Rattus norvegicus: one gene and its partners. The protein of the gene in region 6 interacts with the protein of the main gene of each other region in a pairwise test. Links are inferred from orthologs where the notes say so. Each region holds a gene or a part of one and is shown on either strand. Other genes may lie near its edges.

Region 1 (4,137 bases), on a different chromosome or scaffold from region 6:
TCATCCTGCTGGGCTCCCTGGAGAGCCACGGAGAACTTTGTCCCTGGGCCCCATTACTGCCCCACCCACTGCACACCCTTGGAGCCCCGAGGCAGGAGTCCCTCTGGAGCTGGCTCTGGGCACAGGGGCAGCAGCTGCTCACCTCTCAGCCAAAACCTGCGCGACTCAGAAGAGGCTTCCTGTAGAAATCCTTGTAGCCGCTGAGTTCCACCGAGTTCCACTCTGCCTTCCGCAGTAGCGGCATCACATGACTATTTTCTGTTAGGTATCTAGGAGCCCAACCGACCATTATTAAATGCCATCATGGTGGCGCCCGCCTTTGATTCCAGGGATCAGGAGGCAGAGGCAGGCCGATCACTAGTTCAGAGCTAGCCTGGTGTACATACGGAGTTTAGGGCCAGCCTGGGCTACATGGCGAGACTTCTGCAAGAGTCAGCTTTGGGTCAGGGTCAATTTGTTACTTACTTTCAAATGGCAGACAACAGGATTCTCTTTCTATTAGGCAGGCTGTCACAGCTCTCCTGGGAAGGACAAAGAGGTGACATTGGAGAACACTATGAACTTCTCTGATATTTACCACTCTGATGAAGAGTACTTCAGGAAACTCAAAGACCTGAGGGCTGCCCATGCAGAGGCCATGGTAAAATTAGAGAAAATGTACCAGGACAAGCTAACTATGAAGGACATCCAGGCAGCGCTCGTTGGGGATGATTCTTCTAGGTAAGTCTCTTCTAGAGATGGTCGTCACTGTCATTGTGAACTGAACTAAGATAAATGCTTGGACGACATATGGGGGAAAGCACCCACAGTACCGGCTTCTGAATAGCCCTTCCCAGTATTAACGATATATAAAGGTGGGATTTTATTCACAGTGTTTACTGGCATCATTTCACTAGGTTCCCTCTTGCTTTGAGCGTCATTTGGTGGCCATCTGTTTTTTTTTTTTATTGTAATTTTTTAATGCATTTCGCCTGAATGTATGTCTACATGACTTGTCCACCTGGTGACCATAGAGACCTGTGAGCTGCCATGTGGGTGCCGGGAATGAAGCCTGTGTCCCTGGAAGGGCAGCCAGTGTTCTTATCCTCTGAGCCATGTCTCCAGCCCTCCCATCTGTGTCTCTCTGCTTTACTCAGGCTTACAGATATGCATCAAAATATTTAGGCTGCCCCAATTTTGAAAGATGATCTTGTACTCTATGTAGTCCAGGATGGCTTAGAACTTACCATGTTCCTGGCCAGCCTCTGTCGTGGGAATTTTGGCTACTTTGCTTTATGCTGCCGGCTGGTCACAGACACACGCCCACCCAGTGACTATCTCCAGTACACAGAGGAAAGACAGACAGACAGACAGACAGACAGACAGACAGACAGACACACACACACACACACACACACACACACACACAGCTCACTTTTAAACTGCTTTACTGGCTCTGATGGCTGGGCTCCTCTAAGCTTTCTGCGGCTACCATGCCCTTCCCTTCACTCCTAGCTCACCCTCTCTAAATCTGCCCTCAGCCTCAGTGAAGCCCATTGGCCTTGCTGCCTTTCTGTGGGCCACTTTCCTTTTCCACCTACATTTTGGTGGATGCCCCTACAGCTCCGAGCCTGCTCTGTCTCACTCTCCCAAGGCTCCCCATCTCCTCTTCCTGCCCTCTCCTCTCTCCTCACCTGTGGGAACCTGGAAGTCCCATCTCTTTCTTTCTGCCTAGCCATTGGCCACTGGCATCTAAGTTGCCAAATGCAAATGGACTGGACATTATAAATGTAATTGCATTTTTAAATGAATTGCATAGGCACAGTGCCTATCTAAGAGTTGAAAACATAATATATTATGTTGTACCAAAATTAAGCTTATATTTTGTACCAATATAACATAGCCTTGCAGTATTATGATGATGATGATGATGATGATGATGATGAATTCTGTACCAATGTAAGATTATGGCTATAAAATGTTTTTTTGTTTTTTGTTTAAGAGTATATTAAACAATCTAGCCCTATTTGTCAAATTTCTTATAATATGTCTATATCCCCTTTTTCTTTTTTTTTTTTTTTTTTTTTTTTTTTTGGTTCTTTTTTTCGGAGCTGGGGACCGAACCCAGGGCCTTGCGCTTCCTAGGTAAGCGCTCTACCACTGAGCTAAATCCCCAACCCCCCCCTTTTTCTTTACAACCCCTCTTCCCTTTATCTAAGAGCGAAAGGACAGAGAAAAGGAAATAAATCCCCGAGTCTAAGCTCCATATTTAGTTCCCTCCCTGTTCAGCACCGTAAGTGTTTATAAATCATCCCTTACAATGACAACATATGCATAGTTTATAAAATGACCAAGTCGTCCATCCCAACTAAATGGACTGAGACAACAGTCTTCTAGAAGACTTCAACAACGATGACTAGGTTAGGGAGGGGTAAGGCTGCTGGGTAAGCGGCGCCAGTCCTGATTGACAGGTAGGTCAGACTTCACAGCAAAGAAGATGGAAATGTTAGGTAGCAGTAACATGGTCAGACATGGTCAGGAAGGTGACTCTGGAAACACAGAGGCATGATTACAGTAAGACACGAGGAGCAGCTGACTCAAGTTCCTTCTCTGAAAAGCCAGAGTGTGTTAGATAATCCAGTCCTCTCTCAGCTCTATTCCAAAGAAAAACGACATTGTCACGACCCTGTGCTGCCGTCTTCTAGCTGACTATACCTTAATCTTATAACATTGGCAGTTACAGTAACTCTAACATTTGGCCACATAAAATTGGAAGTGTGCCCTAATTCTTCTTCTTCCCTAGTTCTGCATCGGAAAAGAGCTGCTCACATCCTGCCTTGTCGGCGACCTCGCTTTCAGAGCCTGACCTAGACCGGTCGTCCTCCTTGTCCACAACTACTGATGAGTTGCCCGACCTAGAGAAAAAGACTCCTGGGGAAATCGGAACAAGGTCCTATGCCAAGGAGCTCATAAACAACATGTGGAACGACTTTTCTGTTGAAGATTATACTCAGTATGACTCTGACCTCCAAACAGCCAAGAAAAACAGGAAGAAACCTAAAGCCTGGACGCCCAGGATTACAGTGCCGGTGCCCTTTGAAATGACGGTAAGAGAGCAGAAGCGGAGAGAGAAGGCCTCGGATGCTCAGGAAACCAGGGAGAAGATGCTCAAGAGGAATGAGGACGATGCAGAGTGTAAGAAGAAATTCCGAGCCAATCCAGTTCCTTCCCGCCTGCTCCTTCCCCTTTATGAGGATCTAGTCAAGCAGAACGAGGAGCGTCGGAAGAAGACCCGGGAGAGGAGCAAAGCCGCACTCCTGGCCTCCCAGAAGCCCTTTAAGTTCATTGCGAGGGAGGAACAGAAGCAAGCAATCCGTGAGAAGAAGCTGAGAGAACTTTGTAGGGCTAAGAAGAAACCGAAGCAGTTTAAAGCCAGGCCTGTGCCTCGTTTTATTTACAGACCACCTGCGAATGTCAAGCCAAAGAGGGAAGAGCTCTATGGGGACAGCAGGACACAGCCAAAGGCCAGAGATGTGCTGCAGAGTTCGCCTTGGCCCAGTCACTCCACTTACAGAGCTTTCAGGGACCCCAGAAGTCCTGCAATGCCAAGGGGTAAACACAGGCATAGGCGCCTGAGCCCCAGTGACCAAGGCTTGGAGAAATGGAAGGAACCCTTCTCTGAACAGAGCTTTCGGAACTGCCCGGTGCTTTGTGACCAGTGTTGTCTTTACGAATCCTTATGTGACTCCAATAAAAGACAGAAAATCTTGGCAGACATCCGAATGGGTGAGGAAATTTTGAAAGAAACACGCAGGCCTAATCCTTCTCCTAGGCATAAATCCCCCAGAAGAAGCGCGCACGCCAGCGCCAGGCCTTGTGAATACAGCCCTCCGATGCCCACCGCGTCTTCCCGAGGGCGCGAGCAAGCCATCAGGTAAGGCACTGGGATGGGCGCTCCTGGTCACATGGTTGCTGAACTGGCATAGGAAGAAGCCCTGTGGGTTTTGGCTTGATAAATCTGAATTTACTAAATTATCTGCAAGGTATTGTATGACATGGTGGAGAACCGTTTGCTAAGAATGTTCTTCTAAGAAACAAATGTGATTTCTGTGTTTCCTTGGGGAAGGTAGAGAAACAGCATCAGTTTTACTCGGATTT
Region 2 (3,520 bases), on a different chromosome or scaffold from region 6:
CAGCTATGCTGTCCGTAAGGTCCACACCATTAAAGGTACACAGAATGACCTAGCCCTCCTTCCGGCCTAGCCCTCTTCCTCTTAGCTCTGGATCTAACCCCATGTTTGTCCTCTGTTGCCTTGGTAACTATCACTGTCCTGTGCTCCCCGCCACCCTCTGTCCACGTGTTCTCATCTGTCTGTCCTCTCTTCTCTTCAGGTTTGATGGCTCGAAAGTTGGCTCTTGTTCAGTTGCGCCTGGAGAGGTAAAGTTCGGGCACATTGAGGTGGAGGGGTGTGTGTGGATGTTGGGGACAACCTGTTGGCTGCTAGGACCCAGAGGGACCAAGGAGGGGTGGAGGCACCGGTCACTCAGTTGCTGGGGAGGTTTCTCTGACTCCATCATCGCTGTCCCAGCTGTCCCCCACCTGAACCTGCACCCCCACCGGACACGGACCTGAGCCTTGAGTTGGAGCAGCTACGGGAAGAACGGAACCGCTTGGATGCAGAACTGCAGCTAAGTGCCCACCTGATCCAACAGGAGGTGGGCCGGGTACGGGAGCAAGGTACGCCTGCCTGCCGGCCTGCCTGCCTGCCCTGCCTGCCTGCCCTGTGTGCCTGCCTGCCTGCCTGCCTGCCTGCCTGCCCTGTGTGCCTGCCTGCCCTGCCCTGCCCTGCCTGCCTCCCTGCCTGCCTGCCTACCCTGCCTGCCTCCCTGCCTGCCTGCCTGCCCTGTGTGCCTGCCTGCATGCCTGCCTGTCTGCCCTGCCTGCCCTGCCCTGCCCTGCCCTGCCTGCCTGCCTGCCTGCCTGCCTGCCTGAGCGGGGCTGGAGGAGACTTGATCAGCGGAAGCTCTGGTGCCAGCAGAGGTCTTGCGTGACCACAGTTCCCTTTCAGGAGAGGCAGAGCACCGGCACCTGACCGAAGTAGCCCAGCAGTTGGAGCAGGAGCTGCAGCGTGCCCAGGAATCCCTGGCTAGCGTTGGGCAGCAGCTGGAGGCAGCCCGTCAAGGCCAGCAGGAGAGCACAGAGGAAGCTGCCAGCCTCCGTCAGGAGCTGACCCAGCAGCAGGAGATCTACGGGCAAGGTGTGGGGGCGTGGCAGTGTGTGCCACCCTGCAGGACGGGCAGCTCCCCCTGACACTGCCTCATGCCCTCAACTGCAGCTCTGCAAGAGAAGGTGGCGGAGGTGGAAAGTCGGCTTCGGGAACAGCTCTCAGACACAAAGAGGAGGCTGAACGAGGCCCGGAGGGAGCAGGCCAAGGCTGGTGAGATGTGCGGGAGGAAGGCAGCATTGAGACACAGGGCTGCCAATCCCATCTCACCCCAGACTTTTTTCAAGCTTTTTGTTGACACGTGTATGTAGTGACGTACCGTAGGACTGACATAAGTGAATTCTTACGCAGTGAACACACCGCAGCCAGCACCAGCTCAGGAACAGCTTTGGTTCCGGGCCTGCGTCACTGCCCCTCAGTGGACACCACTGTTGTGGCGTCACTTCTGGCAGCTGCCCTCACTAGAGACCTAACACTTGGATGAGTTAGAGGAACAGGATGGATGTTCGTGTCTTCCCTGAGTGGAGACACAGTTAACACCCTGCTCGCTTGCCTATGTCCGTGCTTACACGTGTGGACATTTGAGTCATGTAAGTTGCAGCAGACATGATGGTTTAGCTGCACATCTCACAGATAGAAAATTCTCTAATCATGCTACCAGTGTCGTAAGAACACGAGCCCTAGCCACACATGGCGGCACTTGCCTGTCACCCCAGCCCAGCCTTTGAAAGTAAGGGGCAGAGTAGGTTAGGGCCAGCCTGGACCACATAGCGGAACCTGTCTCAATAGTTTAGGGCCAGCCTGGGCCACATAGCGGAACCTGTCTCAAGACAGCAGCAACACAGATCACATGAGTGTCACTCCGGCCCCTGTCCAGGTCTTGCCTAAGGAACTGGCATCGGGGATGAGGATCCCATGACATCAGCCCACCCATGGTGTGGAAGAGTCCCCGAGAGAGTTGAGAGCTCAAGTCTCATTCTGGGGCTCTGGGCTAACCCACTCCCATCTCCTTAGTGGTTTCCTTGCGCCAGATCCAACACAAAGCCACTCTGGAAAAGGAGCGGAATCAGGAGCTCAGGCGCCTGCAGGACGAGGCCCGGAAGGAAGAAGGGCAGCGGCTGACACGGCGAGTGCAGGAGCTGGAGAGGGACAAGAACCTCATGCTGGTAGGGGACAGCAGGGAACTGGTCATGGGAGCTGGTGGTTGAGTAAAGGTGTGGAGGGGCGGGTGGCCTGGCCTGGGCCAGTGCGGTGTGGCTGACCCTCTCCTTCCCAGGCCACCTTGAAGCAAGAGGGTCTCCTCTCCCGTTACAAGCAGCAGCGCCTGTTAGCAGTGCTTCCCTCGGGAGTGAGTAAGAAGTGCAGCTCCCAGCCTGTAGAGCCCCCTGAGTCTGCAGCAGCTTCACCGTGCAAGGAGTCTATGAAAGGTAGAACACACTGAAGGGCACGCGGAATTTCAGGCCCGAGCCCCAGAGGCCCTTGGCCTTTTATCTGTGCTGCTGTGTGCCCAGGATCCTCCCTCAGGGCCTCCCAGCCTGTGCAGCCTGCTCTCACCCCCGTGTCCATTCTGCAATGTCTCCTCTGTCAGGCTCCCTGACTGTCCTGCTTGATAACCTGCAAGGCCTGAGCGAGGCCATCTCCAGAGACGACGCTATTTGTCTGGAAGATAACCAGAACACTAAGAGCCCTCCTTCCAATCCACTGCTGGGCCGGAGCTGTCAGGAGGAGGAGTGAAGCTAGCCTGGAATTGGATCCCCAGGAGGGTTGGATGGGAGGACATGGGGTGGGGCCAGCCTGGCCCTGCTCCCCAGCAAGCCTTGGGACCCCAGCTTCCACCAAGTTCAAACTCTGTACTGAATAAAGATGGCTGGAATGGAGTCCTTTCCTGGAGATGTCTGGGAGACTGGGATTCCCCTGGAGCCAGCCCCTGGGGGGTGGGGGGTGGGGGGCTGTGAGACGATTATCCTCCTAACCCTGCCCTTCCTCTGAGGGTACCTTTCTCCAAACCTTTCCTAACTGCTCTGGAAGTGTTCTGAGAATCTCCCAGATTTTGTTGTTGGTGGTGGTGGTTTTGTTAGTTTGGTTTTTTGTTTTGACATTTAAGATAGCCCTGGCTGTCCTAGAGCTTATTTCTGTAGACCAGGCTAGCCTTGAACCAGAGACCCACCTACCTCTGCTTCCCAAGTCTGTGTGTTCTCTCTCTCTCTCTCTCTCTCTCTCTCTCTCTCTCTCTCTCTCTCCCTCCCTCCCTCCCTCCCTCCCTCCCTCACTTCCTTTCTTTTTTAGGACAGGGTCTCTGTTTAGCTCTGGCTATCAAGAATTCACTCCTTAAATCTGGCTGACCTCAAACTCAGAGATCTGCCTGCTACTGTATTGTGCCCCCCCAACCCTCTCCCCCAACTACACACACCACACACACCACACACACACACACACACACACACACACACACACCACACACACACTACACACACAGGCATACACACAC
Region 3 (4,137 bases), on a different chromosome or scaffold from region 6:
ACAAGACCCGCTCCTCAACTGCCTTGGGCTGCCACTGCCACCAAGCTCTCCCATTTCTGTGGGTGATAAATACTCCCACTCCCAGGCGAGGTGGTCTCCAGATCCAGTTGCCCTACCAGACAGACCCTAGAGGAAGTCATTCTGAAGTAGAAATTGAAGATATGGCTTTTAAGCTCCTCTCACCAGCAGCTCATCCCCTGCCTCTGTCTGCCTTGTGGGAGAAGCCTGATCAGGGCTTGAGCCTTTACAGACTTATCAGCCCATGCTAGCTAGGTCGGGGCTAGCCTGAGGTCTGCCACATCTGAGTCTTTTTATTGACTAGATAAGAATGAATTCATCGACCAGTTATGGATGTGCAAAAAGGTGGTGCCAAACCCATGAAACACATTCTGTTCCCTGCACCACCTCGGGGATATTTTTACACTGTTAATTTGTTTTTGAAAAACAGTTTCTCCCATACAAGAGTAACCGCAGGCAAGCCCCTGCTTTAAATTATCTCTCAAATCCCAAATTAATTGCTTCTTACTAATGTTATTTTTATCAAAGACTTTCCATGCGTTTCAAGGAAAGGAAATCAGTTAGACTCATAAAGGGGAGAAGGTGAGGCATCCGGGGCTCGGGGGAGGGGGAGGGGAGCGGGTCTGAGGATGGGAGCTTCATTTGCTCTTTGGTTTTCCTTGGGAAGCAGAGCAATCTCCTTCCTTAAGCTGAGCGCTCCTAACTGACCTCAGAGTTCACTCCAGCTCCCAGCAGCAGCAGCAACTCTCTTGCCAAACCTGGCTTTGTAAAAGTAACCTTTTCAGGACCCCACAGCAGGACTCCACCACCAGGAAAAAGATGGCCTCTTAAATTCTGCCTCCACTGTGCTGTAACCACCACCACCCCAGACCCTGGAATATTCTGGGCTTTCCTCCCTTCTCCCAAACAGCTGAGTTAGGAATCTCAAGCTTCTCCATTCTTCAATGGCTGCCCCTAACAGAGCCCCTCTGCCCTTTATGTAGCTAGGAAATACAGTCTTGATCCAGGTCTGATTTTCTGGGTAGTCCCAGACACTTGGGTGGCTGAGACAGGATAGTTTGAGGCTAGCTTTCGTTACCTAGTGAGACCCTGTCTCAGAAAATTTTTTTACAAGCTACATTGTTGCTTTCGTGGAAGAACAAATCATTTTAGCACGACATTCATCCACTACTGTTTTGCCTTCTAAAAATCCAGCCAAAGAGGGAAGTGAGAAAAATCTATTCACACTAAATAAGGGGTTGGGGAGTCTTAGCAGATACTGATCGTCTATCTGCCAGGAGGCCCAAATTCTGACTTCCGAAGCCCGAGGACCAGTTCTTAACAGCTGAGAGCCGGAATCCCTACCTGCTGCTACTTTTTCAAGTTACCTCCCTGGCGTCTCTGGTTGCATGGAAGCACTCTTAGCTCGCCTCACCCTGATTTTCAGTCTTCAGTGAGGAAAGGGGAGATGAGATTAAACAAAGAGACCAAGAAGCCAAGAGAAGAAGAACCTCCTCTTCAGAATGGAATCTAGAACACCTTTCTTGGCCACAAAAGCCTGGAAGAAGATAGACTCCCTGGATTCCTTTCCTGAACCTTCTCTCCCTAAGAAATTTAGAAACTCTGGGAGTTTTTACACTGCCACCTCAAGCACCACCTCCCCCACACCCACACACAACCGGCTCTGGCTCAGGAAGTGACTGCTGTGAAGGGCCCCCTGGACCTCCACCGGCTAAGCTAAGTCAGCTCATCGACAGGGGCTCCTCACAAGCTTAGAGAAAACTCCCCAGCTTGGCAACCAAGCGACCCTGCTCCATCTAGTGGCCGTTGCCTGCAACGCATGTCCTCTCCACGCTCCCGAATAACTAAAGCTCCCTGACTCCCTTGGAAAGAATGCGCCGGTTCCTGAAGCCTCCCAGAAGCCCGGGGCTGGTGGAGGCTTCTCCGCTGAGCTCATCTGACCCCACTGGGAGCAGTCTCCTGTGTGGACCTGAAAAGCGAAGTCTTGCCAGCCCTGGTGAGGCCCGCCCTGCAGGAAAGGTCTGGGGAACGATGAGACCGGACTATCCTGGGTGTGTGTGAGTCAGCCACACACACCAGTGGCCTCTCATTTGGAGAAATATCACAATGGCCCACTTTCAAACAGCATATACTGTGCAAAACGCTGTCTCCTTGCCTCGGGGCTGGGCCTTAGGGGCTGAGGAAGACACACGCAGTCCTTTCTTACAGAGCTCATATTTCAATCGGGCCCTCCATCCAAGACTGCTCACCGACAACCTGATAAGAAATGAACCATGCTATAGGGGAAGAAGGAGAAGATTACAAACGGAATCAGATCCCATTCTGATACTGATTCGACTATTTTTGCTTTGTGGCTTCTTGAAAGGCGCCATGCCCTCATGCACAGACCCACAGGTTGGCTGAGACAAGAATAGGAGAACGCAGGAGAATGGTCTCCCCTTTTGGGTTCATATTTGAGTGCTGCCCCCTGCTGGCTGTGTGGCGATGTCAAAATTCTCAAGCGTTCTGGGTTTTTCTCTCTGTGAAGATTAGGAAGCTTACTTCCTAGGGTTGTCGTGTGGACTAAGAGTAGTGTGCAGGCTCCAACATCTAGCATGTGCTGTTGTTTTAGATATGAGGTACAGTTTCAATCATAGCCTATTATTGGCACCCCCAAGCCACTTAACTGTCAGTCCCAAAGAGGCCCCCACTGGCAGGCAGCCTGGGCTGTGTAGGGCTAGAGCATGCCTCTGGATCCCTTCTCTTTGCTTTCACAGTCGTGGCTTTGGACAGTCCAACTCCCTCCCGACGGCCAGCTCTGTGGGCAGTGGCATGGGTAGACGGAACCCACGACAGTACCAGATCGCATCTCGGAACGTCCCTTCTGCCCGCCTTGGTCTCTTGGGCACCAGTGGATTTGTCAGCTCCAACCAGCGCCACACTGCTGCCAACCCCACCATCATGAAACAAGGAAGACAGGTTTGTTCTGCTCTGGGGATCAGGGAGGTTGACAGAGCTCAGGGGTCGAGGCTTTAAGATGTCCCTAACCTGGACAGTCTCCAGATCGAAAGAGATGACCCCAAGGGATCTAAACCAGGGGGATAGCCGAGTCTATGCTTCCTAGGTAACCACTGTTGGTGTTGTTTCCCTGGAAACTGAAACCCCATGGCTGTTGCTTGGGAAAACTAGTTCTACATGGGCCTTTGTAGACAGGCATGAAAAGTCTACTTCTGCTTGATCTGTGCCCTGCCCCAACATACCATCACCTTCCCAGTCTGGTTGGGCATTTAATAAGCTTTCTTTGACCTTTTCCTCACAGTCCCAGATGCAATGGTGAGTTCACAGGACTGTTGGGGAGGCTGTCCCTTGCTGTAAGATTGACAGTGTTCTCTCTGTCCCCTGAGCCCAACCTTGTCTTTCCCTAAGTGTTCGTTCCCTAAACCCCATTGGGACTGGGGACACACAAGCAGGCCTGATGAAAGGCTGGCTTTAAAACAGAAAGGCTTCACCAGGAGGTGGCTGGTGGCATCCTCTCCCAATGGGAAGGACGTGTCTAAGAAACCCCCAACCCCCACCCCCACCCCCCCACCCCCGCTATCAGTTCTAGGCGAGGTCGCCGCAGGACACATGAGCTGCAATGACACAGGCCTGTTGCCAGTACTGAGTCCTCTTTTCTCCTCAGTAGAGAGTAAATTTGGGGAGTCTCAAAAAGAGCCTTAAACTCATTGTACTGTTTGCTATAAGCATTTCTAAGAACACACACACACACACACACACACACACACACACACACACACACACTCCCTTTAAGCAACAAATGCAGTAAAAAGGCTTCTGGAGATGGGGAGAAGGAAAAGGTGGCCAGGAGAAGCTCAAGCTTAAAGCAAGGCCTGGGGATGAGCATCAGATGGGCCGGTCTAAACCATCTCTAAGTCCACGGTGGGTAGCATGGCCCTTTCCAAAACTCTGCTGGGATACCCCTCTCCACTGGAACTCTGCTTCCCCGCTTCCCCTCAGGGTCTGGACTAACGCCCCCTCTTGTATGTCCCTCCCTAGAACCTCTGGTTTGCCAACCCTGGGGGCAGCAACAGCGTACCCAGCCGCACCCACAGCTCCGTCCAGAAGACCCGCTCGCTGCCC
Region 4 (4,137 bases), on a different chromosome or scaffold from region 6:
CACACTGTGCAGCAAGTACTGTATCCACTGAGGTATTTCCTCAGCATCAAGTGGTGGCAGAGGTGGTGTAAGTGTTTAGAGGGAGGGAGATTGTAACTTGAATAGGGGTTCTCAAGTGTGAACTCTGCAGATGATACCATCATTTTGTAAGGACAAAAGATTGAACATACTGCTAGGCAGTATTTCAGAGTCCTTTCCAGGAGCTCTTGGTGGTTTCTTTAAAAGGAAAAAAAAAAAAATACAGATCCTTAAGTGGCACTAATATATATTCAGGGTTGAAAAACAGTGATTTAAAATTAAGGAAGTGGGGTGGGAAATGGGAAGAAAAACGTGATTAAAAGGCTGTTTCTTCAGAAACAAATATGTTTACTATTTTAGTTTAGCATTTCAGGATTTATTCATCTCAATCATAGCAGTGAGTGGAAGCCATCAGAGTGGGTTTGGTTTAATGGTGGTGGTATTTGGGTTCGATGTCTGTTTTTTCGCTCTTTGCACCTCTTCTCCTTACTCTGTCTGAACTCTGCATTCTTCCTACAAAGGAACTCGGGAAGTCATGGGAAGAGGTGCAGTTGGAAGACGACCGTGAGCTGCTGGACCTTCAGGAAGAGTAAGGCACCGCACTGCTGCTGTCAGCTACAGCGTCGAAGAGCGGGCAGATGGTTCTTTAATTTGGGCTGTAATTACCATTCCAAAGAGGGACAATAAGAAGAAAGTCTCTAAGCCATACACCCTTTCATATAAGTGGCAAGGTTTTTAAATTAAAATAATTTTCCCATAAAAAAATCACTAACGATACTTTTGGGTGAGATTAGTTGGGGTTTGGGTTTGTTTTTATTTTGTTTTGTTTTGGGTTTGTTTTTGTTTTTGTTTTTGTTTTTTACTTTCTACTTTTTCATACAGAGAACAGGACATACAAATACAGAAATAATGTAAGAAATATGTATTGTCAGTGTCTTAGGCAAAAACCTACTGCAGATACAACGGTGCATACAGAAATCCGATTAAGACTCTGATTTCTTCATATTCTTTTCTACCATACATAAAAATATCATCAAAGGGAATTTAGATAAAGAAAACAAACTCACACTTTGAGTGGTCATATGTACTAATACATGTTAGACAGTCTGTTATGTGATTCTTCCATCCATCCCTTTGAAGTGGTAATGGTTTGGGTCTGATAGTGAGCTTGTCTCAGATCCCAGTTAGAGCAGCACTGAGAGAGACCTCACACTCCGTACTTTCCGTAATGGGCATTTCCAGTTGTCTCTCTGCGCCCTCTTTCCGCTTCTTCCCTGGTAATAAAAACCTGTAAGGATCAGGATTCTTTGGGGCCTGTAAGTAAAAGACTTCCACAGCCTGCCTTGCAGCTGTGTGTGCTGTGCAGCTGCACTTCGACTGCAGCAGTCGCAGCAAGTGAGAGTGCAGTGCCGGACACCACAGTGTTCCAGTGCCGTGGCATGCGTAGCACTGCTCCTTAAGGGGCTCTCCTGTCACTGCAATCTAAGTCCAAGAGGCACCACAGAAGAGAAGGGTTTGTTTGGGCTAATGGTTTCATGGCTGGGCAACCATGGAAGCTGGGTTCCATCACTGCTGATGGAGCTTACAACATAACTTTGCCATCTGCGGATAAGAAAGCAGATGCCTTGGGCCAGAACCTGAGCAGTTACAATCTCTACCTGCCTCCATGACCCTCAGTCGGCCAAACTCAAGCTTTCTGTTAAAACAGTATATGCCCTTAACCCCTGAGCCGTGTCTCCAGCCCTGCATGCCTTTTGAGTTACCATTCTACCACAAGATGTAACATTTGCCCCATTTAAAATAATCAGTGTTTCCCTCTTGAAATATAACTGTAGGCTTTAAAAAAAAAAAAAAACACGCAGTCCGCCATGCTGAAGCACGTCCGCTCACATCCTGTGTATTGGTGCTTGGGACTAATAAGAGAACGTCCCACCTCTTGATAGGTGTCCTTTTGGAATTAAATTTCTCTGTGTCCATTCTCAAGTCACTGTTCAAAAGAGTGGCAAATGGGGAAACCAGGGCAGCACCTACTGGCTGGCTGTCATCTCATGCTTGGAAATCCAGACTCTGTATCTGAAAGTCGTAATAGGATGTGGCAGTCTTTCCCAACATGTCACTAAATGATCAGTGGCATTTGCTAGGAAAGAGACACTAACACAACTCACCATGAGGTGCACCTCCAGTGAGAAGATGACCGTGTGTTCTGTCTTCTTTTTAACCTAGTGACTGGTCTGATTGGCAGGAGTACCCTGTCTCTGCTGTCTGCCTATTTTGTGAAAAGCAAGAGGAGACAATAGATAAATTGTATGTGCACATGAAGGTGAGATGTGTTTATCTTGCTTTAATTTTGTTTCATTCTGACAGCGTGGAGCTGGTAATCATTTGATCGACAGTAACTCGCTGGGATGGTTTATGTTAAGCTGACAGGACCTAGAATGTCCTAGCAAAGGAGCCTCTGGGTGTGCTTGAGGGCTTTTCTTGACTGATTCATTTAGGTAGGTGACTACGCTGGGTGTGGGCAGCACCACTCCATGGACCAGTCCGCAGCTGGTTAGGAGAAAGGGACAAACAGCAGCGTTTGTCACTCTCTACTTTGTTCTTTCTCCATGAAGGTTTGTTGTTGTTGTGTTGTTGTTGTTGTGTTGTTGTTGTTGTGTTGTTGTTGTTGTTTGTCAAGGTACATTAGTCTCAGTGTGGAAACAGACAGGAAGCCCACATCCTCCAATCATTATTCCATTCCAGAAAGTACAAACAGAAGAGACAGGCCAGATCCATCCAGGAGGGGAGAGTGTGGTGCAGGGTAGAGGGTGATTGACTAACCTGAGCAGACCGTAGCTTAGATGTCACGGCTCCCACCCTTAAGGGGCTTCCTTGATCACCGTAGCTCAGGAGATGAGAGATCTGCAGCCACAGTGACAATATCCAAATGTAGTGGGTTCTGGGGCCTTCTTTCTGCTCCTGCCTGTATTGTTGACTAAGGTAGAAAGAGCAAAAGTCTTGCTATTCACAAAGGTCAAGATCGAAGCTGCACATAATGTGACCTGAGAGCCACTCGGGGAGGAGAAACCAGAAGAAGCATCCGGCTCTGCTTCCCTCTGTGTCGTGTTTATATTGAGGTGACACTTGAAGCTAGGAATTCTGAACCTTTATTCACTTCAGTATACCCAAAAGATACTCCCTATGTGTTGCTCTGACCTTGGCTAGATGCTGGGGTAAAGAAAAGAATATCTAATGATATATGACAGTATCTCAACAGCATGGGAATAATAATTAATAATGATAATAATAATAAACAATATTTCTGTGGAGTTCTGACGTTCTCTGCCTGTCTTCTGAGTTGTGTCTGTCTATAGTTGGCATCTGTTTTTTACTCACCTTCAGTTCTCCTCATTGAGAAATACTGTTCTTAGTTCAACAAAATAAGGTCCTGGGCAGAGCTAGAAAGCCTATGGGCATATATTCTTATGAGTCGGTTTGTCTTTGATAGGTTACCAGTAGGATGGATATGTGGCCATTTATAGGTGTGTCACCATGTAGGGATAACATTCTTGGACTCCTCACAAGGATCATTGGTCCTGCTCATTGACATGCTCAGTTGGTAGCATGTCATGAACTCCTGAGCATCCTGCATCTACTGGTACTGCACAAAATGCTGCCACAGGGAACAAGATTGCTTTTCTGTGAGGTGATAGATTTGAACATTTACAGCACAGTCAACTGGAGAAAGGGGACAAGCAGAATACCATAAGTCTCTGTCTTGTGGCAGTCCAAAGAAAGGTTGGTTGATGTGAAATGTAAAAGTAGAACCGAAGAAACACATACACACACACACACACACACACACACACACACACACACACAAACACACACAACACACACACACACACTGACTGTGTGAAACATCACGTGCTTCTAGTTCTCTAAAACCTAGTTCTGTAATTGTGGTCCAGATGCCCTGTATGCAGGAATCACAACTTAACACACTCTTTTATCAGGCTAGATATTTTAGACATTGTAAATTGGCAAAAATAAGCTGTAACCAATTACAACGTTTCAACTAATTGATGCTCTGGATTGTGCTTTAGAGAACTGCTGACCATGGAGGAAGGTGGTTAGAAT
Region 5 (4,137 bases), about 8.7 Mb from region 6:
GTTCTCCTGTATCTCACTCTCTTGCCAGCGGCCTCACCGAGTGCTTGCTCGAAGCCAGCTTGGATCTTCACCATCGCATCTCCAGATGCAGGTCAGCCCTTGCCTAGGCTTGTGCAAAGGTATCATGTGCACAGGAAGCCAGAACTCATGCACAGAGATTTCCTTCACCATGCAGTTGGTGATCCCTTCGGATCATCTTAATTCTGGAGGGCTTTGTTCTAGCTAAGTGCAAATTCTTCCTTTTCAAAGTTGGCTGGTAATAACATCAGCCATCTAGGCATCAAACATGATGGAAGACCTGTGGGTGATTCTGAAAGCCCAATGTAAAACCTTGAGCTATGCAAAGGGAAGAGATTTGATTCTGAACTGGTGCACTTGAACAGGCCAAGGATCTTGGTTAACTTTCAGATATGAGAATATGAGGCTGGAAGCCCTTATGTATACCCTATAGAAAAAAAAAGACTCTAGTGCCCCCCCCCATACACACACCAACAGGGATTCTCTTTCTTGCCCTGGCTGTCCTGGAACTCACTCTGTAACCCAGGCTGGCCTCAGACTCAGAGATCTGCCTGCCTCTGCCTCAAGAATGCTGGGATTTAAAGATGTGTGCCTCCACTGCCCGGCAACCCGGCAACTTCTAGTGTATTATTTAAACTATTTAAGGTCTTAGCCCACGTCACCCGTAACTCTATATACATGAGAGGCTGAGGCAGAAGAACTGTTCCAGACCAGCCTGGGCCTAGTGAGATCTTGTCTTAAAATTTAAAGGGACAGAAAGGACGTGTGAGCTGCCTCAGCTGCTAATGGTGCTTGCCCTGTGTCTGATGACCTGAGTTTGATCCCTAGAACCCACTTGGTGGAGAGAGAACCGGCAGTTCAGGGGCTAAGAGCATCTCCTACTCTTATAGGAGACCCAAGTTGGATGCTTAGCACCCATATTGGGTGGCTCACAACCCTCTGTGACTCCATTGCCAGGGTATCTGATGCCTATGGCCTTCTGGGGCACCTGCCCTTGTGTATATGTACCCACACACATACATACAATTAAAAATAAAATTAAATCCTTAAGAACAATGCAAACAAAAAGAATGGAGAAAGGAATCACAGTGAAGATCACTTACCTAAAGTGACGAGGGACCCGGGTTTGATCGTCAACACCGAAACAACAAACGACACCTAACACTTGACTTGATCATTGTTTTTCTCAAAGAAACTGAGCTTCGAACTTCCTGGTTCTTAAAGAAGGTAATCTTATATTTTGTGCTATAATGGTGGATTTGGCATTAGTATTTAGCTACATATTTACAACGGATGGGTCACCTGAAGATGCTGGAGTGCCCTGTGCACAGCCATTCCCCGAGTCTCACTGTCCCCAACTGTAATGCTGCTGAGCCTCATGGGCACAGGCCAATTGGGCCACAAGGTCACTTGGGAAATGTGCCAAATAAAGATCAGAGGCACAGACGTGTCGCCCAGGGTACCCAAGAGGAAACGCCATCGGACATTCCATCAAAGGAATGAAAGCTAATTTTAATTTGAAAAAAAAAAACCACTAGATTTTTTTTAAAAGTAGGTTTTATTTGAATAATGTTCCAGGAGCACATTAATTATTACAAGTCAACAAGCATTAAGTGTCTCTGTCTCCTATTTGCTATCACAATCCTTTCTCCCGTGCCATTTTCCCTCAGAAAAGTTATTTCTTCTTACATGTAAAACAAAAGTATTCAGGTTCTAGGAAGGCAGAGCAAGCAGAGGGCCCTATGTATGTGTATCTTTAAAATAGTTTTTACTGTTCGTGTGTGTGTGTGTGTGTGTGTGTGTGTGTGTGTGTGAGCACATGCACTTGCTCTCGCTTGCTTGTGTGTATATCTATATGTATGGTTATATATAGAACAACCTGCTGGCGCTTTCTTTCCACCGTGTGTGTCCTGAGGACCACATCAGATCATCAGGCTTGGCGACAAGCACTCTAACCTCATAAGCAGCTTGTGATTCCCAGCATACAACTTCTTAAATCCAAGAACACATCCCTCAGAATCACTGTGAGAACAGAGTGACTTTGGTATCAGTTTAATCGCTTTCCACTCCTTTAGGTCCATCGTGTGGTCCCCTCTTCCACTCTCTTTACTAATTTAATTTTATTCACACTACTTTTGCTACCCTGAAAAAGTATGAAGAAAGAAAAAACAACTATGTCTGCTATCTGTTAAGAATCACACCGTAACCTAGATTTCCTCCCAAAGATTCGTTCGGATCTAGTATTCTTCGAGACGGTGTCTAGTGTAGCCCTGAGCCTCTGGATGATGCTGATGAAATCCTGCTCCTCCAGGTTCCGCCTCAGGATGCGCTGGGATTATGTCCCCACTTTCCATGGCACTGGAGAGGTGACCGTTGGGCCTCTGATAGGTTAGGCCATCCCTCTACCTATGAAGCTCATCTCTAGCCAAAGATTCATGCAGAATGTAAGAAAGAATGCAAAAAACTTCAGTTGGAATAATTAGATATGGATGGAACTTTCGGTTTTGGAAAGAGACAGCAACCTGATGTAATCTCGGTGGCTTTCTTCTTCTTTCTCTTCCTTTGATTCTGTGCAATGGGAAGGGCTTCAGTAGGGTGAATCCAACAGATTATCTGTAGGTTTTAGCACACTGGGTCATCAGATGCTTTGACTATGAGCAGCTCCTTTGGTCCCAAAGTATATTCTTAGGATTTGGCAGTTCCAAAGAAGAAAGGGAGGGAGGGCTGGGAAGACGGAGCAGAGCAGGAAGGGAAGGTGGAAGAAGCAGACAGGATCAGAGGTGCCGACGAGGCAAGGGACCAACACTATCTGCAGGGCCTTGGACACCTCCTGGTATTCTGTCTTCAATTTTTCAGATGCTAAGATCTCTCTATCCCATTCCCATTTTATCCAAGGTTGCCTGTGTCTGTGCAGTCTGAGTTAGGGAGTCTTTTATCCTTATTTCCTGGAAGGAAATGTAGTGAGGTTCCCCACAGAACCCTGAGCATGGAGCAATTCCTGAGACCTTGTGCTTGTCTCCCTTTGGTGAGCTTTTCCTAATGCTTGGCCCCCTCCCCAGGGAACCCGTGGATGAGGTGCTGCAGATCCCCCCATCCCTGCTGACATGTGGTGGCTGCCAGCAGAACATAGGGGACCGCTACTTCCTGAAAGCCATCGACCAGTACTGGCACGAGGATTGCCTCAGCTGTGACCTCTGTGGGTGTCGGCTGGGAGAGGTGGGCCGGCGCCTCTACTACAAGCTGGGACGGAAGCTGTGCAGGCGAGACTATCTCAGGTAAATCCCTCACACTTCTGGGCACATCTGGGTTTGGACACATAGTCTCTGGCTCCCGCTTTGGCTCTGAGGTGTCTGCCTAAGGAGGCTAGGCTGTGGAGGCTGAACCTCCACTGCCTCTTCAGAGAAGCCGTGAGCTCTTCCTTTGCTGTGGCCATGTTTGCAGAGACACATCCCTGCATGGTAAATCACTGAGGTTTTTAAAGGTAAGAGAAGAATAAACACGGAATTCAGAATAAGGACAAAATTCCGTGGGGGCAGGATAGGGTTTGGAGAAGTATACGTAGGGAAATATCAGGGGAACTAAGGGAAGAGAGGGAATTCGCTTATAAGTTTGGGAGTGGGTTCTCATTTGATACTCAATGAACGTATGCATATATGTAGACATTCCTTTGCATGACTCCAATATTGTTGATGAGAACTTTTAAAATAGCATTCTGTTCTTGAGCCCTGAGCACTGAGTTTCCTAGCAGGAGGCTAGCATTCAGCAGTTACAAAGGTGAAGACACTGGAGTCGGGAGGTTTGAGGCACTTACTCACTACTTCATTGCTTCCTAGTACTGGCCTTAGACAAAACCTCGATTTCCTGCCTGTAAAATGGGTATAGTAACTGTAAGGTTAGAATGAAGTACTTGACTTGGTACATGACTTAAGAAGTAGGTGGTGGCTGACTTTATAACTGACAGGTGTCGTGGGGGCATCACAAATTATTTTCCGCTATAATGGACAAGGGGATGGTAGCGTGGAAGGGTGAGATAGGAAGTGTACCAGACCACGTGAGACAGAAGCATTTCTGAATGAGAGTGTCCTGGCACCCGGTGAGTGTCTCTGCCTGGCATGTTCG
Region 6 (4,137 bases):
ATTGTCAAAGTCAAGACAGATGTGGGGCCAGCTGAGTCCTCTCAAACTCAGAACCTTATAGTTACTCAGACGGCCCTAAACTGGATTCACTCAGGTGCTCCCTGTGGGAGCCAGGAGGGGCCTCCTCCTCGATATGTGACAGCCTCTAATGTGAAGACCATCCTGCCTGCCGTGGCTGTTGGAGTGAGCCAGGAGGGCCCTGCAGGACTTCCCCTGCAGGTACTACCACCAGCTGCCCAGCTGGCTCCCATTGTGCCCCTGGAAAAGCCCTGGCCAGGAACACAAGCAACAACCATGGAAGGAGGTCCTGTGGCTGTTCGGAAGCCCTCTCAAGGTGATCTTGCCTATGCTTCCAAGGGCGTTTATGAGAACTATCGTCGCTGGCAGCGCTACAAAGTCTTGGCCCGGACTCACCTATCCCAGAGTCCTGATGCAGAAGCTCTTTCCTGCTTTCTTATGTAAGTGGGGGTGGGGGTGGGATATCCAAGGTTGACTTTTTTTTTCCTAGGGCTTTTAGAGAGAACTCTAGGGTAGATGCAGTAGTTTTGGCTCCTCCAGAATTTTTTTTTTAAAGATTTATTTATTTATTTTATGTGAGTACACTGTCACTCCCTTCAGACACACCAGAAGAGGGCGTCAGATCCCATTAGAGATGGTTGTGAGCCAGCATGTGGTTGCTAGGAATTGAACTCAGAATTGTTGAAGGCAGTTGTGAGAGTGAGAAGACACTGTTCAGAGAATGAAAAACAGTGCTACGTTCTTCCCGGCTTATAAGAAGTGTTCAGGTACCGTTTCTCAAAGAATGCCTACAACTTTGTGAAGTCAGGCAAGCATTTTATGGTAATCCTGAGAAGAATGAGAGACTTCCTGTCATAAAACAGGAAGCAGAAATTGGCATGTAGGTCCCTGACTCCAAAAGTCAGGGCCCTGCCTGCCTGCCCTCTGACACTGAGATGAGGTGGGCTGGGCCCTGACTCGTTCCTGTGGGAATGAGGAAGATGGCATTGGGTCGGGCAAAGACCTTAGTGTGTGTGAACTCTGTCTGCTCAGGAGTCAAGGAGAAACGGGGAGAGGGGAGGCACAGCTGGCTCCATATATACTAGGTGTGTGATCCAGAGCAGGACATTTAACACCTTTGCCCTGAGGCTCCTCATCACAAAAGGGGGTAATTATACCTATCTCCAAGGGTTGATCAGAAGATTAATGGTGCTTGGCAAAGTGCCTGGCATAGAAAATGAATCATTCAAATGGTCATTCTTTTATTAATACTATAAAAAGGCAACCTGAAAGAGGAAGGGAGCCCACAAAAGGCCAAAGTATCCCTCCTTTAGGTTATGTGCATGTTTAGCCACGATGCCTGGAGTTACAGGCTGTGTTTTTTTGTTTACATATTAGTTATTAGTCCTCTTGGAAATTTTCTCTACTTTCCAAGCAGACTGGGTAGCTCTCAGCTGAGACACCCCATCCCCATACCTCTCCAGACTTTGAAAACAAATGCATCCTCCCTTCCGGTGGCTGGGAGAACTTCTTTGTTCCTAAAGTCCTCCATAAACACCACCTTACTGAGTTCCTGGTTTCTTGAGATGGTTCTTGAGTTCTCTTTGAAGACCTGGTGACACAATTTTTAAATCTGGAACCAGTATGAGCTCTCGTGGTTTGCATACGGCTCATCCCCTTTTGTTTCTGGCCAACTCCTCCTCTGCACAATTCCATGCCGTGGACAGGATCTTCTGCTGGGCATGATCAAGACTTACAGCAGCCATCCGGGAAGCTGATTCAATGCTCAGTTCTGGGATCCTGGCTTCTAAATCCCATGGTTATAGCAAGCTTTCCTGGGTGGTTCGGATACTCAGTAATGTTTAAGGACTTAAAGAGAAGCCAGGCAGGCTAAAATGAAGTCCTTGCTTTAGTCTGCACACTCGATTTCCACTGGAGCTTTCCAGAAGTAATGGTCCAATATCCTATTTGAAAATTCATGATGGTGGGGTTGGGGATTTAGCTCAGTGGTAGAGCGCTTGCCTAGCGAACGCAAGGCCCAGGGTTCGGTCCCCAGCTCCAGGAAAAAAAAAAAAAAAGAAAGAAAAAGAAAATCCATGATGGCATTCTGGGGAGATTTGCACCTCTCAGTGGGAAGGGCGGCAAGAGTGAGGGGAGGCTCTGGAGATCTTATTAAAATGGGACATCCTAGATTTGGTGAGAGACGGGGCTATGGACTGAGGTGGGGGCATCAGAACAGGTGCAGGGCACACTTTTACAATGTGTCTGACCTAATGGGGGTTTTAGCCCAGTGCTTCGTTCCCTGGCCCGGCTGAAGCCTACTATGACCTTGGAGGAGGGACTGCCGAGGGCTCTGCAGGAATGGGAGCGTACCAGCAACTTTGACCGGATGATCTTTTATGAGATGGCAGAGAAGTGAGTTTGATGAACCCTCATTCACCCTGCAGGGGTTGGGGAGTGGTCGAATGTAGGGGTAGCAGAGACAGGCAGGTGTATGTGTGTGTATGTTGGGGGAGGGAGGAGGGTAATCGTAGCTTCAGCAAGATGGTTCAGCGGGTACCACAAGCCTGTACCTGGGTTTGATCTTCAGGATTCACATGGAGGAAGAAGGGGCTCCTAGAAGCTGTTCTCTGAGGTCTACACATGCACATTGTACGCATCCGTGTGTACACATACATACGTACATACAGACATACAAATAAGTGGAATAAACTTTGAAGTAGAATAGTGTAACAGGAGGAGGGCTGTAGGCCAGATGAGGGTCTCCTGGACCCATCTTGCTTCTACCACCTAAGCTGTCTGTTCTTGAAAGCTCCCCTGCCTCCAGGTCTTGGATCTATATATGGCTTTCATATTGAAGGTGTTAGCATAGGTTTGAACCCAGGGCCTCTAAAAACCCCTCACTGAGAGAACCTTACCATGAAGGCTTTTTGGCTCACTGGACAGCAAGTGGCTAATGATCTGGAACTTGACAAGCACTTTTCCTTTCATGGTTTGTTTTGCTTTTGTTTTTAAAAATAGCACAGAAAACTCGTTTTCCCCCATTTCCAGGGAGGGACCAACTCTGGAAGAGGTTGGCCAGAAGAAACAGGGTACTGGATACCCAGAGTGGTCTCCTGACTCTTCATTCCCCATTTCTACAGCACAGCCATGTCCAAACACAGGAAATTTGGCTGGCTGTGATGTTGTGGGTCATCACGCATGGCCCTAAGGCTGTTGTGGGAGTATCATTGGAGGCCAGGAGTTCAAAGCCAGCCTGGCAACATAGTGAGAATCCTTATCACAGTAACTGAGGAAAGAAGCATTTCCTCCAAATGTATCTTTTTTTTTTCTCCCCCTGAATCTGAACCCTCAGCTTCCTAGGTTTACCCTTGAGGACCTGTTCTAGCCTTTGCACTCTGGTGGGCTCTGCTTCAGAAATTCTGCCATCATTTTCAGTTGTAGAAAGGGACAGATGAGGCCATCAGGAGCAACCCTTTAGAGTGTACCTCTAGGTTACACGGGCCAGTTACATGAAGTAGTAATTAATTAGTCAGGGCACTGGGTGAGGTTGATATGGCACAGAAGAGGGTATGCTGTACATCACCAGTTTCTTTAGTTAGCTTCCTGAGTAACCACCGAAGGTGAAGAGACAATAGAATAGCATTTTCCAGAACTGTCATTAGGCTACAACCTACCCGTGAGCAGCTTCCCCTGGCCGTCCCAACTTCAACAGGATTTAGCCAAAATGAGGGTGCATGGTTTCCTGGCCATGTGCGGATGCTGCCTGGTGTCTGTGTTACTGATGGGATGGATTCTCCTTCTCACCACAGTCTGTATGCTTTTTATTTAAATGCTAATAATTTTATGTGCACTGGTATTTTGCCTGCGTGTATGTCTGTGTGACAGATTTTAGAGTTACAGACAACTGGGAGCTGCCATGGGGGGTGCAGGGATTTGAAGCACTGAGCCATCTCTCTAGCCCTGCCCGTTCCTTCTTTTATTTATTTTTTATTTTTTTATTTTTTATTTTTTTCTTTATTAACTTGAGTATTTCTTATTTACATTTCGATTGTTATTCCCCTTCCTGGTTTCCGGGCCAACATCCTCCTAACCCCTCCCCCTCCCCTTCCATATGGGTGTTCCCCTCCCCATCCTCCC
Region 7 (4,897 bases), on a different chromosome or scaffold from region 6:
TTACTTGCCCCTACTAAGCCCTCATTGGTCCATGGGAGCTAGACAAGTAGTCTAGTACATGTGGTCTGGAGGGGTGAGCCTCTGTTTTGTAAATAAAGTCATGTGTTTCATCCTGTGGAATATAAAGGCCAGTGAATGTGAAAGCTATGTCAACCGACTGGGTTGACTGGAGCGCCATCTAGTGGACAGAAATGTCAATAAACAGGCCAAGAGGCTTTGTTTTATTTTTATTTTTGTTTGTTTGTTTTGAGGGGGAAGGAGGTTGATTTTTTTTTTTTTTTTTGAGACAGGGTCTCACCATGTAACTCTGGCTGTCCTGGGATTCACTATTTAGCCCAGGCTGGCCTCGCACTCAGAGAGCTGACTACCTCTGCCTCAGAGTGCTAAGATTAAAGGTAGGCACTGAACCGCCTAGCCACACCTAGATTTTTAATGGTTTGGTTTTTTGTTTTGGTGGTGAGTAGCCGATAGAGCTGAGACGGGCTCTTATATAGACAGGCTGGCCTGGAACTTCCTGGTTTGAACTTCTGGTTCTCCTGCCTTGGTCTCCTGGGGATTAGGATTATAGGTTTCTGTTCCCACAGCCCACGTATGCAGTCCTGGGCATTGAAGACAAGGCTTTGTGCATGCGAGACAGGCAAGTACTCAGCTCTGGCCTGTAAACTGATTGCCAAGGAAGATCTGGGTGACTTAAGCTGAACCCTGAAGGAATAAGACTATTCCAGAAGAAATAAGTCAAGGGCCAAACATGTTTGCCCATGCTTATAATACTAACACTAAGGAGACTGACACAAGAGATTTGCCCCAAGTTCAAGAACAGCTTGGACTACATAACGAGTTAAAACCAAGTTAGGTGACACAGTCAGACCCTGTGTCCAGGGAAAGCCTACAAGGCTGGAACATGGGAAACAAGCATGGCGGTGGACGCCTGAATCCCCAACACTTGGGAAGCTGACCAAGAAAAAGAAAAATGTAAACCAGCCCTGATTCTGTAGCGAGCTCATGTTGGTCTTGGCTATGAGACCCTGTCTCAAAAAAAAGAGGAAGAGGTGCTGGGGAGATGGCCCACACACAAACATTTTTAAAGTAAAAGAGGTGGGACAAAAATTGAAGCGCGGGGGTAGGAGAGAGGCTGAGGGCAGGTTCTTGGGAGTAGCTGGCAAACCACTGTGACTGTGGTCAAGTATTTTGGGATCCAGGAAGAATGTTAGATGTACATCATTAGGGCTCCTGGCCTGAGCACGGTAGTGCATGCCTTAATTTCAGCACTAAAGAGACAGAGACTGGTGGAGCTCTTTGACTTGAAGGCCAGTTTGGTATAAATAGGAAGTTCCCCGCCAGCCTGTATCATAAAGTAAAACAAAAAACAAACAAACAAACAAAAAGACTCGGCTGCAGAAACGGCTAAGACAGTGCAGCTGCAGGAGTTGGTGAGGATCCGAGTTACTTCACAGCTGCGCAAGCCCCAGAGAGATGTGGTGAGTGGGTCTCGCATTGGGGCTGCTTATTGGCGGTGAGGTGGGCGTGGCATCGGGACAAAACTACGCAGGCGCCAAGCTCCCTCGTTTCCGTGGCGACGAGGACTCACACGCCTCAACGGCTTAGCAACTGTTCTGTCCCAAGACTTTGGTCCTGCCGCTGGACTCTGTCGTCCTTAAATATTTCAGTTTTCCTTCTCCATTCCGACTGCTTCCTGAAGCCAAAGGAATCTTGGTCCCTGGCATGGGTGACCTGGAGCTGCTGCTGCCTGGGGAGGCTGAGGTGCTGGTGCAGGGCCTGCACAGCTTCCAGCTTCGGGAGATGGGATCTGAAGGGTGAGGCAGCTGCAACAGGTGGAGTCACCTGGTCGTTTAGTGGAGGAGTTTGGGACTGACATTGGAGAAGGGGTTGCCAGTGTGGAGGGGTCTCCAGGTGGGTAGGGAAAGCTCTCAGAGATAGAAGCGTAGGGCCTGGGGACAGGATCATGGTAGGCTTTAGTAGGATCCAGCCCCACCCTCACTCCCGCTGCACATCTGGACACCCAATGCACATATGCATCTCTTCCGGGGCAGGTGGAGTAAGCAACATGAGAACCTGGAGAAGTTGAACATGCAAGCCATCCTCGATGCAACTGTCAGCCAGGCTGAGCCCATCCAGGAACTGTTGGTCACCCACGGGAAGGTAGATCCAGGCCCCAGGCAGGATTTCCACCTTCCTACTGTACCTCTCGGGGGACACTGGGCCCCTGTTCTTCCTTCCGACCCCAGACACCTGTCATTCCTAAGTGGGAAAGAAAAATATGTTTGTTTCATTTTGAGGTAAGGTGTCGATCTGTTGCCCAGACAGCCATGAGCTTATTACCTTCCTGTTTCTGCCTCACAAGTGCTGGGGCTGCAGGCGTGCCTCACTGTACCTGGCTACATTTCCTATTGTAGTGGATCCTAGACTCCAGGGGGAGCACTCAAGTGCTGACATGAGCCTGAACTGACTGTAAGGCCAAAGAGCTCCTTACTAAGGAGGAAGCAGCTTTCCAAATGGGGAAGGTAGCCTTTCTGACACAAGAGGAGAAAGTAGAAGCAAGCCAGGAAGATGCCAGGTTGGAGGATGGGCCAAGGGCGGTACTCACTCCCCTGCAAGAGAAAGACAGAGCTGGGTAGCAGGGGTCGGTCTAGGAGCAAGGCAGTAAAGGGTCTCAGTAAGAGTGAGGCCAAGGGCTGGAGAGATGGCTCAGTGGTTAGAGTACTACTGACTGCTCTTCCAGAGGTCCTGAGTTCAATTCCCAGCAACCACATGGTGGCTCACAACCATCTGTAATGAGATCTAATGCCTTTTCCTGGTGTGTCTGAAGATAGCTACAGTGTACTTATATATAATAAATGAATCCTTAAAAAAAAAAAGAGTGGGGTTGGGGATTTAGCTCAGTGGTAGAGCGCTTGCCTAGGAAGCGCAAGGCCCTGGGTTCGGTCCCCAGCTCCGAAAAAAAAGAACCAAAAAAAAAAAAAAAAAGAGTGAGGCCAAGGCACCCAACCAGCTGACCAGGTGACAAAGACCAAAGTAAGGACAGGAAGAGGAGAGCATCCCTAAAAGGGGAGATGCCTGGATGGAGGTGGGGTAAGAAGCAGAAGGCACAGTGAAGGTCATTCAGTGGAAACCCAAGAGAGCTGAGACTTAGCCTGGTCTAAAATCCAGACAGGAGAGCTGGGAAGGCAAGGCAAGTCCATTTAACCCCTGCCCCTCCCCTGCCCCTCCCCTGCCCCTCACAGATCCCAACGCTGGTGGAGGAGCTGATTGCTGTGGAGATGTGGAAACAGAAGGTGTTCCCGGTGCTGTGCCGGCTGGAGGACTTCAAGCCCCAGAACACCTTCCCCATATACATGGTGGTGAGCTGGGCCCTCAGGAGTCCTAGGCCACGAAAGGTAGTTAACAGCCCCACCTCTCCCTCTCAGCCCAGCCCTGTTCTCTTCGACAGGTACATCATGAGGCCTCCATCATCAATCTCCTAGAGACAGTATTCTTCCACAAGGTGAGACATTCTCCCTGAAAGACTCTACTCCTTGTCTGTCGGGAAAGGCATCAAATCCCAGAATCATTCCCTCCCTTACCCCCCCAGGAAGTGTGTGAATCAGCAGATGACACGGTCTTGGACCTAGTAGACTACTGCCACCGCAAGCTGATACTGCTAGTGGCTCGGAAAGGCGGTGGTGACCTGTCTGAGGAAGAACGGTTCCAGGACAGTACCCCTATGCAAGTAAGCTCAGGTTCCCCAGACTTAGCAAAATCTCGATGTGAGTTCCCTCTGGCCTCCTCAGGGAGGAGGGTGAATACTGTGTGCCTCTGCCCACCCACCCCCACCCCCAGGAGCTGCAGAAGCAGGCAGAGATGATGGAGTTTGAGATCTCCCTGAAAGCCCTCTCCGTGCTTCGATACATCACAGATTGCATGGATAGGTGGGCCACCCTCCAGGTCCTGGGCACACGATAAAGGGTTGTGCGTCCTGGCCCGTAGCCTCTCTAACCAACCGCCCTTCTCCCGAACCCCTAGCCTCTCCCTGAGCACACTGAACCGAATGCTTACCACACACAACTTGCCCTGCCTCCTGGTGGAACTGCTAGAGCACAGTCCCTGGAGCCGGCGGGAAGGAGGTAAGGCTCTCTTCCCCCTACTTGCCTAAGACTGTAACTGGTTGCTTCCGGAACCTCCTTCAAGATCAATGGAAGTGTACAGCATACACACTGAGGATTCTGGGATGCCTCACCCTAGAGGGGACTAGATTTTGACTCTGAGGCAGGCAAGGCCTCTGAGTCATTTATTGAAAATCAACCTTGTTCTGACAAATCTGGTGGTCCAGGCTTTCAAACGATGCCAGGTAAGGACAACACACTCTCTTTTTTTTTTCTTTTTTCTTTCTTTCTTTTTTTTTCCGGTGCTGGGGACCAAACCCAGGGCCTTGCGCTTGCTAAGCAAGCGTTCTACCACTGAGCTAAATCCCCAACCCCAGGACGACACACTCTCAAAGTGAACACAACACCTCATTCTCCTCCCCAGGCAAGCTGCAGCATTTTGAGAGTGGCCGATGGCAGACAGTGGCCCCCTCAGAGCATCAAAAGCTGAACAAACTGGATGGGCAAGTATGGATCGCCTTGTACAATCTACTGCTCAGTCCTGAGGCCCGAACCCGTTACTGCCTTACAAACTTTGCCAAGGGACAGCTGCTTAAGGTGGAGAACTCAAAGACCCTACCCATCCCCACTGTGCCCCGCCCAGCCCCGCCCCGCCCCGCCCCCATAGCATCCCTGTCTGTCCCCGCCCTCTTTCCACCACTTGGGCTTCAGAGGACAAGGGAGTTGGAAAGATGCAAACCCTCCCAAGTACTCTCAGCCCCAACTTCAGGACTTCCTGTCTTTGGGCCCTCTGGCTA

Evidence for each region.
Region 1: the proteins of Nutm1 (region 6) and Fam161a interact in binary tests that used the Homo sapiens proteins (3 or more experiments, as listed by UniProt). The two-hybrid records come from large-scale screens. The link is inferred for Rattus norvegicus from reciprocal best matches to the Homo sapiens genes NUTM1 and FAM161A.
Region 2: the proteins of Nutm1 (region 6) and Cchcr1 interact in binary tests that used the Homo sapiens proteins (3 or more experiments, as listed by UniProt). The link is inferred for Rattus norvegicus from reciprocal best matches to the Homo sapiens genes NUTM1 and CCHCR1.
Region 3: the proteins of Nutm1 (region 6) and Samd4a interact in binary tests that used the Homo sapiens proteins (3 or more experiments, as listed by UniProt). The two-hybrid records come from large-scale screens. The link is inferred for Rattus norvegicus from reciprocal best matches to the Homo sapiens genes NUTM1 and SAMD4A.
Region 4: the proteins of Nutm1 (region 6) and Zfp277 interact in a two-hybrid assay, tested with the Homo sapiens proteins (2 studies listed by BioGRID). The two-hybrid records come from large-scale screens. The link is inferred for Rattus norvegicus from reciprocal best matches to the Homo sapiens genes NUTM1 and ZNF277.
Region 5: the proteins of Nutm1 (region 6) and Lmo2 interact in binary tests that used the Homo sapiens proteins (3 or more experiments, as listed by UniProt). The two-hybrid records come from large-scale screens. The link is inferred for Rattus norvegicus from reciprocal best matches to the Homo sapiens genes NUTM1 and LMO2.
Region 7: the proteins of Nutm1 (region 6) and Zmynd10 interact in binary tests that used the Homo sapiens proteins (3 or more experiments, as listed by UniProt). The two-hybrid records come from large-scale screens. The link is inferred for Rattus norvegicus from reciprocal best matches to the Homo sapiens genes NUTM1 and ZMYND10.

Annotation. Positions count from the first base shown.
Region 1 is NC_086032.1:101,217,069-101,221,205, forward strand, and holds part of Fam161a (protein FAM161A), read left to right. Parts: intron 1-465; exon of another isoform or gene 466-502; coding exon 503-720; intron 721-2,782; coding exon 2,783-3,913; intron 3,914-4,137. UniProt on the Homo sapiens protein: Involved in ciliogenesis.
Region 2 is NC_086038.1:3,209,772-3,213,291, reverse strand, and holds the end of Cchcr1 (coiled-coil alpha-helical rod protein 1), read left to right. Parts: coding exon 1-35; intron 36-199; coding exon 200-245; intron 246-396; coding exon 397-545; intron 546-865; coding exon of another isoform or gene 866-876; coding exon 877-1,065; intron 1,066-1,143; coding exon 1,144-1,245; intron 1,246-2,046; coding exon 2,047-2,198; intron 2,199-2,308; coding exon 2,309-2,459; exon of another isoform or gene 2,460-2,620; coding exon 2,621-2,766; 3' UTR 2,767-2,909; downstream 2,910-3,520. UniProt on the Homo sapiens protein: May be a regulator of keratinocyte proliferation or differentiation.
Region 3 is NC_086033.1:22,810,573-22,814,709, forward strand, and holds part of Samd4a (protein Smaug homolog 1), read left to right. Parts: intron 1-2,774; coding exon 2,775-2,976; intron 2,977-4,053; coding exon 4,054-4,137. UniProt on the Homo sapiens protein: Acts as a translational repressor of SRE-containing messengers.
Region 4 is NC_086024.1:63,114,193-63,118,329, reverse strand, and holds part of Zfp277 (zinc finger protein 277), read left to right. Parts: intron 1-539; coding exon 540-607; intron 608-2,241; coding exon 2,242-2,338; intron 2,339-4,137. UniProt on the Homo sapiens protein: Probable transcription factor. Involved in modulation of cellular senescence; represses transcription of the tumor suppressor gene INK4A/ARF, perhaps acting via the Polycomb group (PcG) complex PRC1.
Region 5 is NC_086021.1:110,824,204-110,828,340, forward strand, and holds part of Lmo2 (rhombotin-2), read left to right. Parts: intron 1-3,077; coding exon 3,078-3,293; intron 3,294-4,137. UniProt on the Homo sapiens protein: Acts with TAL1/SCL to regulate red blood cell development. Also acts with LDB1 to maintain erythroid precursors in an immature state.
Region 6 is NC_086021.1:119,511,832-119,515,968, reverse strand, and holds part of Nutm1 (NUT family member 1), read left to right. Parts: coding exon 1-458; intron 459-2,283; coding exon 2,284-2,412; intron 2,413-4,137. UniProt on the Homo sapiens protein: Plays a role in the regulation of proliferation. Regulates TERT expression by modulating SP1 binding to TERT promoter binding sites.
Region 7 is NC_086026.1:117,097,410-117,102,306, forward strand, and holds the start of Zmynd10 (zinc finger MYND domain-containing protein 10), read left to right. Parts: upstream 1-1,619; 5' UTR 1,620-1,722; coding exon 1,723-1,814; intron 1,815-2,051; coding exon 2,052-2,160; intron 2,161-3,242; coding exon 3,243-3,359; intron 3,360-3,448; coding exon 3,449-3,502; intron 3,503-3,589; coding exon 3,590-3,727; intron 3,728-3,837; coding exon 3,838-3,926; intron 3,927-4,020; coding exon 4,021-4,121; intron 4,122-4,524; coding exon 4,525-4,697; intron 4,698-4,897. UniProt on the Homo sapiens protein: Plays a role in axonemal structure organization and motility. Involved in axonemal pre-assembly of inner and outer dynein arms (IDA and ODA, respectively) for proper axoneme building for cilia motility.